3 linked regions of the Bombyx mori genome follow. The protein of the gene in region 1 purifies or fractionates together with the protein of each later gene. This does not show direct contact. Links are inferred from orthologs where the notes say so. Each region holds a gene or a part of one and is shown in the gene's direction. Other genes may lie near its edges.

Region 1 (2,427 bases):
ACAATATTTTTATTATTATTTGCAATGCAATTAATATAAAAAAAAAAACAATTTTAGTGGTGCTGTAGTACCTACATTTGAAGATAAACTAATGGGTAATCCTGTTGGATGGCTTCAGGAGTTGTGTATGTCACGATTCTGGCCACCACCATCTTACCATGCTGAAAACGATGACAATGTTAATAGACGTAAGTTTTCGTACTAATTTTACTTAGGTACTTACTTTAGCAAGGGCTTTTTATTTATTAGCTTAAGTGACTTTTTTTTAAAGTTAGACATTCAACCATAATTTTGAGAAAAAAATAAATTATATGCACTATTCTTCTGAGTCTTCTTGTAGTCATTTGGTTGTCCATTATATTATTATGTTATGTTGTATATTATTTAAGGAAACTATAAAATGATATAATATAATAGAAGTTGTACATTTCTATTACTTTATTTGTAATATTTGATAACAACTAACACTGTATACTTAAGTATATTTAGATCTAAATAAATAGAAAAGAAATATATTTTTTACATTAATATAATTTTACATATTAATAAATCATTGATAATTGATAGTAAAATTTATGTGAAACATAAGAATGTGGGTCTACAATACTACAAAAATTGTAGCAGTTTCAGGTTTGCCCCATGAACGTCAATTTACGATCATTTGCACATTGCTCAAGCGCCGTGAAGTTGGTACAGGCAAGTCAAAGAAATTAGCTAAACGGCAAGCTGCCTACAAGATGTGGCAGGCCTTACAGGACAACCCACCAGAATCCTTCCAGAATGATGATGAGGTAAAGTAATATTAATTTTACTACTATATCGCATAAACTCACTTCAATATAGGATATAAGGGAGCTGTTTCCGATGCTGAAATGGAACTGCTTGATTAAGGGCTTGTATTCACAATTTGATGACATTGATAACACAACTAAAACTAAAAAGTTTTTTTTTTTTTTTTATTGCTTCTATGAGTGGACGAGCTCACAGCCCACCTGGTGTTAAGTGATTACTGGAGCCCATAGACATCTACAACGTGAATGCGCCACCCACCTTGAAACATAAGTTCTAAGGTCTCAGGTATAGTTACAACGGTTGCCCCGCCCTTCAAACCGAAACGCATTACTGCTTCACGGCAGAAATAAGCAGGGTAGTGGTACAAACCCGCGCGGACTCAAGGTCTAATATTACTCAGGAACTTTAAAAGTAACTTCAGAGTACTAGGTGATTTGCCTGTTAGACTTGTAACTCCGAATGCATATGTTAAAGTTCATATTTCATGTTCTCTGTCTGATTCAACCATATTGAGGCTAGATAAGTTTTATTAATAATAAAAGTATATGAGCCAGACTGGCAATAGCAGTTTGTTTTTTTACTAGTAAAATTGGTATTTGTATGTATGAAAAAAGAGGAATAATTTATAGTCAGTTAAAAAAAATTGTGAAGCCAGAGTGTAATATAATGCCTTGTGTATCAACAGAATAATTACCTGAAAATTAATTACAATTATTTGATAAGTTGTCTTGGTGTTGTTTGAATGTACTTACCATCAACAGTTTATTTCAATTATTATAAATAATTAACTTCATGTAATAGTTGTCAATATCCATCAATTGATTTTTGGAACATTCCCCTAAAATTGTTATTGTTGTTCGCACTTGGCCAGGTATTTTACTATCTTTCGATTAGGTTACAGGCCTGAAACAACAGAAGAGTCGGTTGACAATAAAAGTTTTTTTTTTATGTTATAGGGCGGTGTTGCGGCCCGTTATGCCGATTTGAAAGATAGTAAAATCTCCACATTGACCACGAGCCATAGCCATAAAGTGTCGCAGTTCCACAAACATCTCAAACAGTCTGTTGGCCCCAACCTGGCCAAGTTGCAGGTATGAAACAGTTGTTTTGCATGAAAGTATCAATTTTTGGCATGAATGTTGTCATTTGAAATATTAATTTATTTAATTATAAAACAGGTGACACCACTAAACAATAAGGATTTTAACTTCGTTCAGTTCTTGCAAGAAATAGCATCAGAGCAATCTTTTGAGGTGACCTATGTCGACATAGAAGAAAAGTCTATGACTGGTCTATGTCAGTGTCTTGTCCAGCTTTCCACATTGCCAGTAGCTGTATGCCACGGAGCCGGCCTCACCAGCAAGGATGCCCAGTCATCTGCTGCTCAGAACGCCTTGGAGTATCTCAAGATTATGACCAAAAAGTGAAATTTTCAACATCTTACGACATCAGCAAAGACCAGTGCGACGACCTATGCATTTGATCTATGGGCTCTAACGTTATGAGATTTAATTTTAATGCAGGCCATATCACTATGTGTTTTGTATTGATGTCGTTAGGTTTTGAGCCTTCATATTGTTGCATCACTTTCCATATGAATAATGGCATTAATAGTACGCATCTATGTACCAATAG
Region 2 (3,664 bases), on another chromosome or scaffold:
GTCGATAAAAATCTACGTTGGTGTAACAGTCGATAAAAATATACGTTGGTGTAACAGCCGACCCTCTATGCTGATCGAATGCAACATTGATCGTGCCGATTAGGCTGTTGACCTATTGCTGAAATTTTCAATTCCAAATTTTTTATTCATTCACACACACATCAGGGCAATTATTGTTGATCAATTTTTAATTTACATCGATCCAACTTCTAAGGCTTATGATCTTCGTTCAACCCGTGAAACTTTTCTACAGTTGTTATTAGAACGCATGTGGAAGTGTAGAACGACATCTAGTGGCGTTCGGTTGCAACCAACAAATTAGTGTATGTTGTTACCCTGATGTACGGCAGCCGTCGCTCATGGACATCAGCATCGACAGCAACCTAACGCTACCTCTTAAATCGTTTGAAGGATATGTCATAATGTCATTCATCACATGCGTCATGAAGAACATTATTAGAGCGAGATAGATAGAAGTGGTCCGTAATAGTTTATCTATATATTAATACGTGAAGCAAAAACTTTGTACCCCTCTTTACGAAAATTGCGCAGACGGAAGAGTATGAAATTTCCCACACCTATAGAGAATATAGAGAAGGAGTGTAGAATGTTAATATTTTTGTTAATTATGCATTTTTATTTATTAAATCGATAAAAAAACATTATGCGCACTACCGTGTATTTGACACGCACACGCATGCATACTCTTTGTTTTTTGTCAAACTTTTCTTATTGCTTATAGTATGTGGCCAAATTGAGTATAGAATAAATATTGTTTGTCATTATTAAGATTTGTCTAAATAAAGTGTAGTCTTAGCGAAATCGGTGACTATAGAATTTTAATAGTCCTTGACAATAGAATCTTAATAATGTTCAAACTTATAATTTCTATTAATTATAGTCGAATTTCGACTATTGGGGGGGGGGGGACTAGTTCTTTTTAACAGTCTAATTCTGTCGTTTGTGTCGCGCAGGTGTTCAACGAGCCCGTGATCTTCCTGGGCGTGGACGTGACGCACCCGCCCGCCGGTGACAACAAGAAGCCTTCCATCGCGGCCGTCGTCGGCTCCATGGACGCGCATCCGTCGCGGTACGCCGCCACCGTCAGGGTACAGCAGCACCGGTAACCAGCCCTTCCATATTACGTAGTCGTATATTATTATTTCCCTACCTATTCGCCGGTAGAGTTGTTCCAACTACAGTAGATTGGCGGGAATAGAGACTAGAGTTAGAATAGGGACAAATCTGGGATGTCACTTTTGTTGTTGTTAGATTTGAATTTGTTGAACTGAAAAAAACGTTTACTTAGTGTTTAAGAATGTTAAATAGTTTAATTAGTAATTTTTTGCTTAATTCGCAAGAGCAAGTTTCCTTAAAGATACATCATATAAGGTCTATTCAGAAATTTATAAAACGTAAAATAAATTTAGTACTTTAGAAGTAGATTAGTGGAGCGTGTTTTCCAGTTCGAATCGGGAGGTACCACCGTCCTACCAATTATATTGGTGCAAAACAAGCCATACAGATTTTCTTCATTACTAGTTTCACACTGCAATAAAACCTAAATGAAGGTTTTTAAATTGAGCCCTGGGAATCGCTTACGAACAAAGCGAGCTGTGAGGTCATACGTGAGGTCTTTGACCATCTACGCGAAAAATTATATTCAATAAAATCCTTTTACAGGCAAGAGATAGTTCACGAAATGAGCAGCATGGTCCAGGAGCTGCTCATCATGTTTTACAAGAGCACCGGCGGATTCAAACCCCACCGGATCATCATGTATCGCGACGGCATCTCCGAAGGCCAGTTCCTGCACGTCTTACAGCATGAGCTGACTGCTGTGAGGGAGGCTTGTATCAAGGTCATTATTATTTTATTAATCATTTTATTGACTTTACGTTTATTCATTATTTTAACCCAATCATTATCACTTATATGTTATTTTATTTATGTCGTGAAAAGTGCAGTATTACCAAACAAGTTTTGAAGGCTGGGTGCTACCTCAGAACAAGACATTAATTGATGTACTTTAATGCAGAGGTTACATAAAACAAACCGTTTAGTAAATATAATTTCATACGTAATACTCTGTTCGTAATAGTCATCTGGATAGTGCCTAAGTTACTTTTGTACCTGGTGTTTGAGACAAATTTTAATTATTGCTTAACTATAAAGATGTTTCTTTATTATGAATCGTTTATTTAAAGTAATCGCCTATAATTATATCTTCCAGATTAGGATAAAGCTAAGAGTTTTATCTTGTTATTATTGTCATACACGCGGGAAACCATATAAGATACGACCAATTCAATCGAAGTCGGATCTCGTGACTCTGTGGCTAATTAAGGTCAATGACCTAAATAATAACATTCGGGATAATTGTAACCTGTACAAAAGAATGTAACAACGTACTTTATGCTACTGAATAGTTTCAATAGTAGTCACGTATAATATCATATTGGTTACAGCTGGAAGCGGAGTACAAGCCGGGCATCACTTTCATCGTGGTACAGAAGCGACATCACACGCGGCTGTTCTGCGCCGACAAGAAGGAGCAGTCCGGCAAGTCCGGGAACATCCCGGCCGGGACCACGGTCGACCTCGGCATCACGCATCCCACCGAATTCGATTTCTACCTGTGCAGTCACCAGGGCATCCAGGTACGTGCCAATACGATTCAATCGGCCGTTCTCTAATCTGGTATACTGATGCTAGGACCTCTTCTGAGTCCGCGCGGGTGGGTATCACCACCCTGCCTATTTCTACCGTGAAGCAGTAATACGTTTCGGTTTGAAGGTTGGGACAGCCGTTGTAACTATACTTATAGTTGTAAGAGCCGCGCTTCGCAGAATCTACCAACGGATTGGAAACGCGACCCACTGAGAAGATCCGGCGAGAAACTCGGTGGGCTGTGTTTGAGGATTAAACAGCAATGCGCGCGTATTGAATTGACTGATACTAAGTAACTAGATGGCATAGTGATGTTGTTGTGTCGCCGACAGGGTACGTCGCGGCCGTCGCACTACCACGTGCTGTGGGACGACAACCACTTCGGTTCGGACGAGCTGCAGTGCCTCACGTACCAGCTGTGCCACACGTACGTGCGCTGCACGCGCTCCGTGTCCATCCCGGCGCCGGCCTACTACGCGCACCTGGTCGCCTTCCGCGCGCGCTACCACCTCGTCGAGAAGGAGCACGACTCGGGCGAGGGCAGCCACCAGTCCGCCTGCAGCGAGGACCGCACGCCCGGCGCCATGGCGCGCGCCATCACCGTGCACGCCGTCACCAAGAAGGTCATGTACTTCGCCTAACGCAGACGACTCATAGAGACATATCTAACGAAACACAAACGTTCACTCCCAACGTTCCGCCGTCGATTGTATCGCGGAGAAACAGTTCTCGAACGTCAAGAAGGTCATGTACTTCGCCTAAAGCCGACGGGTCCGCGCGCGCCCCGCCAACTCAAACATAATTCGACGCTTGACAGGCAAACGTGACTAAGCGACAATAACTGCTTTGTACATAAACGATAGGCAATAACCGCTATCGATGCGCAAAAAAAAAAAATATTTCTAGGTCTATTAAAATCATATCAATCCCACAGCTAGATTCGTTAAAATAGTATAATAGTAGTAATAATAATTTTTTTTTCAGGTATTTCAAC
Region 3 (4,386 bases), on another chromosome or scaffold:
TTTCGTGTGGGTGATATTAAAAAATTCACAGTGTCGTCATTTTTAGAGATATTCAAGTAATTTTTTCACTAGGTTTAATATTTTTGTATTGTCTTTAAATTTATATAATTTTTTTATTATTATTATTAAAATATAATATAATATATATAATATAAAATATTTATATTATTATTTTTATGTGATTGGAAACTTCCTCATTGGAAAACTACCTGATACCTGCTCGAATACTCACTTAAGTACTCAATTATTCTTCATTTAATAGACTATTTAAAGACAGAGTAGTTGAGAACTGATTCGAGTAACAACAATACGCACCTAAACGTCGAAATGTTTCTTAACAATTTTTAACTTGCTTTATCTTTAGTTTGAAATAACGGTTTAAAGTCGTAAACGAAATACGTAACGTAAACGAAACGTAAAAGAATCCAGTAAACTACTCCAGTACTGACGCTGCATTCGAATATTGCATGGTATTCTGGACTCGAGACATCTCAATTATTTTTGTTATAAATGCTGAAAATCTAGAATACAAAAAATAGCCTATCACTAATATTTTTTCAGGGACTATATGAATTGTTCTCGAAAGAGAAAGGAGGTAATGTGTGTACCTACTAACTTTACATACTTAAACCGAAAACAATAGTTATTTAGAAATTACTTACTTAACGAAATACCGACTTACCGAAATAGCACTAATGTGATTATGTTATACAGCAGTTTTAAAAAGAATGAAGTGTGTTGGGTTGAAGTGAAGTGTGGTAGTTTATGGCGCTATTTTTAAAATATTTTCACTTCTAACTTATGTTGTACTCAACGGACACTTTTACACTTTAAAAAAAAAATGAACATCAAACGGTACATTTGCGTTTAGCATTTAATTTATTTTTTTATTATATTTAGCATTTAATGCTGCCACTGTCAAATTATTGTGTTATCTCTATAAGGTACTTCCCCTACTTTACTTTTTGAGGCTTGGTGTACGTAGTAAAGTTGTAGTCATAGACATTCAAAGAGGAACGTGACCTAAGAAATCTCTTGAAGTTTATATTTTATTTTTTTAAGCTTAGAAAGGTTTCGTAGTCGTACCGGCTAAGATTAAAATTAAATGCTTACTATTAAACATACTTTATGACAGTGCTGGTATGTAACCGGTAAGTTTATTTTTCTTGCATTTATCAAGAGTATATTACTAGGTACATACCTATCTACTATATCCAAATAAACATACATTTTAGTATTTAAAATTCATCCCTTAATTTTATTTGTTGTCTTTTTTGATTTATTATATTTTTTTCAAACAAAACTGGTTCGGAAAATAACAAAATAAAAAATGTCGTATAAATAACAATAGGTATGTCGACAATATGAGTTTTATTTCATAATTATTTACCTAATTTATATATAATACATTCTGTTCAAATAACAACAAACGCAAACATTCTAAAATATGATATTTTCATTAGTAAACTGATTTATAAATATATAATATAATTTAGAACTTCCAAATTCTGCATGCACAAGTAAAATGACTACAACAGAAGGAATACAGTATCACGAACAGAAAGCTCGCCCCTATCAAGCAATACTGGAAGAAATAGCAAGTTCAAAAAATACAATAATTCATTTGCCTACTGGTAAGTACTGTGAACTGTGATATAGTACTGATAGTTACCCTTAAACAGACTGTTGTGCAATAAGGTTAATACACACAAATAGATTTTTATGACAAAAGGTACAACAATATTGACAAACAATGAACAAACATTTTTACAGAATACACATTTTCTTAACAAGAATAAAACACCAGGCATGCCTTTTGGATTTAATAGCTTGGGTATGCAACTCTGGGTACCATACATAATTAACATCTAAAATTCTTCCCCTGAGAGATTAATATAGAATTCATAAATTCTACATATAATGTGGGTGAAACTTCATCTCAGGTTTTATTATACTATCCCAGAAAATTTATTTTAGTTTTAAATAAAAAATATTGCATCATCATTTAACAGTGTTTCAATATTGTTTATCATTATGTGTCATATCACTAGACATGGTATTTCTCAGCCCAAAGAGTAACCAACAAAAGATTCCACTTTTCATTTTCCAAATTGCTAGTTGTCTCTTTTATTAAATAGATTAAAGATTGATTCTATTACAAAACACAACAATTTGTGATGATGACCTGCTAAGTAACATAAAGCTGGCAGTAATATTTACTATAATAATAATATAACTGGAAATGCATACAAAACTCATAATGGTGCATAACAGAAGCTTCTAAATACACATTTCTCAGAAAAAATTTAAAAGCTAAAATTTTGTATAAAATTTTGATAATGCTATTTTCAGGTTCTGGAAAAACTTTTATTGCTCAGAGGCTTATAAAAAAGTTCCGTAACCAATTAAAAAAGCCTTGGGGAGAAGGTGGGAAACGCAGTTTCTTTCTTGTAAACACAGTTCCGTTAGTAAATCAACAGGTGCCTACACATTTTTTTATGTTATAAAAATTAGTATAAGAAGTCAGTAAACCTGTTCATCTGTTATCAGAGTCACCATTCAACCACGTTGATAGAAAAAATTTAGTGTCATACAAGGCAGATAAAGTTTACTGACCAACCGATTGTTTGTTGTTGCTGTCACTCATAGATATCCTCAATGCTAGGGGTATAGCCCTAACTTTACAGATTCTTCATAAAGCTGATTAGAACCTTCATTAAAAAGGTCCTTAAAAGGAACCTTCATTCTTCATTTGGTGAGGTCTGAGCAATGAGCACTAGTTATCTGTAAATTGACCAACCTCAAGTATGTATAGATAAAGATAAAAACTATCTTAAATTCAAAATTGAAATTATCATTGAGAAGGTTGTGATTTATTCACTATTAAACTACATTACCAACTAACTGAGTTTGAAATAACAACTTATACGTAATTCAGGGTTGAAAAGTTGTGTATTTTAACTGACATATTTTAACCTAAGTTAAAGAGGTTTGTATATTCGCATTCAGCAGTTTTTCGCTACGGATAAGTCAGGTTTCATGCCAACCGGTAAATGTTTGTAGCGTTTAAAATAATTCATTTAATTAACCATTTCAAAGCATGTCGTGAACATGACTCAATGTATTCACGGACATAATGATTTATTAGATACATAATGTATTATTAGAGTGATTGAAGAGGAAGGTTTATATGTATAATAACATCCATTAAATAGTGGAGAAATACTGTTCTTTTTGAGGTTCTTAATGTGATATCGTAAATAATCAAAAATTAAATTTCATGTTTCCAAAGCGAAGCGAGGGCGGGTCGCTAGTACCATATAAAGTATAGAGAGCAGGCATATAAGCTATTTTATTTTCCCAAATTTTCTTTTAGTTTAAAATTAACCCTTTCGTTACAAGCCTCTGCTCTAGACGGAGTCCGCGCGACCATTTGTATGTACGAGTGTCGCTACAGCATGATAATCCAAATTGCCAATTACTTTCCGTTGTTGGTCGCTGATCAATCGTAGCTTGTCACGTAAAAGGTTTTTACAAGTTTTTTTTTCTTGGCTTGGAGCTGTTCTCTGAGACCATGTTCGTAAAGAAGGATTATAGGAAATATGTAAAATCGTGTCCATACAACGAATCTGGACGTGTAGAATAGTGCGTATTGATAAGAATCTTCATTTTCAACCCTAGTAGTCGTTGTAGTCAAATCGTTCATTTGGCGTGAGCTAGCTCTTTATATTGTTGTAGTTGTGTAATTAGAAGGCGTGTCCGTAATAGCTGAGCTACTACTACAGACATACTCGCAGCGCCTACCCCAGGACGCCGACGGGTCGTCAAGGCGATCGTTTACTATCGCCGCTGGTGTTCGGGATAGCTCACTAGAGACTAGACTATATAGGTCCGAACCAGCCTGCCGGGTCGGAACGCGATACACCGCCGACCCGGTTGTTCTTGCACAGTACGATGGCGACGACTGAGGAATCTAGAAGCTCGTAAACGATTTCACGCAAACTTTTTTGGGGATAAACTTATCGGCCCATTCTTAAATTAAAAACCGACCGAATGTTTTTTTTTATTTTTTTACAGTATAATGCATAATTTTCACACCGTGTACTTGAATATGTCAAACTACAATTTAAACACTGAAGTGTACTGGTTCCAGGAATCCAGTCATCGTTCTTGTCGAACCCGTCGCTTGCAACGAAGGGCTCGACGAGTAAATTAACCCACAGACACAGCCCACTGAGTTTCTCGCTGGATCTTTCAGTGGGTCGCGTTTCCGATCCGGTGGTAGATTCTGCAAAGTACGGCTCTTGTTAGGGTTCGTGTTAGAAACGTCGTCAGGTTTGAGCCCTGTGAGCTCACCTACTAGTTAAAAAAAAAGAAGACGAATCG

Evidence for each region.
Region 2: the proteins of Loqs (region 1) and Ago1 purify together in Drosophila melanogaster (affinity purification with western blotting; 4 studies listed by BioGRID, with this or other methods). This does not show direct contact. The link is inferred for Bombyx mori from reciprocal best matches to the Drosophila melanogaster genes loqs and AGO1.
Region 3: the proteins of Loqs (region 1) and dcr-2 purify together in Drosophila melanogaster (affinity purification with western blotting; 9 studies listed by BioGRID, with this or other methods). This does not show direct contact. The link is inferred for Bombyx mori from reciprocal best matches to the Drosophila melanogaster genes loqs and Dcr-2.

What each region holds. Positions count from the first base shown.
Region 1 is NC_085114.1:6,389,939-6,392,365, reverse strand, and holds part of Loqs (loquacious), read left to right. Parts: intron 1-57; coding exon 58-188; exon of another isoform or gene 189-503; intron 504-621; coding exon 622-791; intron 792-1,748; coding exon 1,749-1,883; intron 1,884-1,970; coding exon 1,971-2,219; 3' UTR 2,220-2,427.
Region 2 is NC_085111.1:12,337,806-12,341,469, reverse strand, and holds the end of Ago1 (argonaute 1), read left to right. Parts: intron 1-974; coding exon 975-1,123; intron 1,124-1,683; coding exon 1,684-1,861; intron 1,862-2,468; coding exon 2,469-2,660; intron 2,661-3,002; coding exon 3,003-3,311; downstream 3,312-3,664.
Region 3 is NC_085129.1:9,460,974-9,465,359, forward strand, and holds the start of dcr-2 (dicer-2), read left to right. Parts: upstream 1-1,525; coding exon 1,526-1,634; intron 1,635-2,352; coding exon 2,353-2,480; intron 2,481-4,386.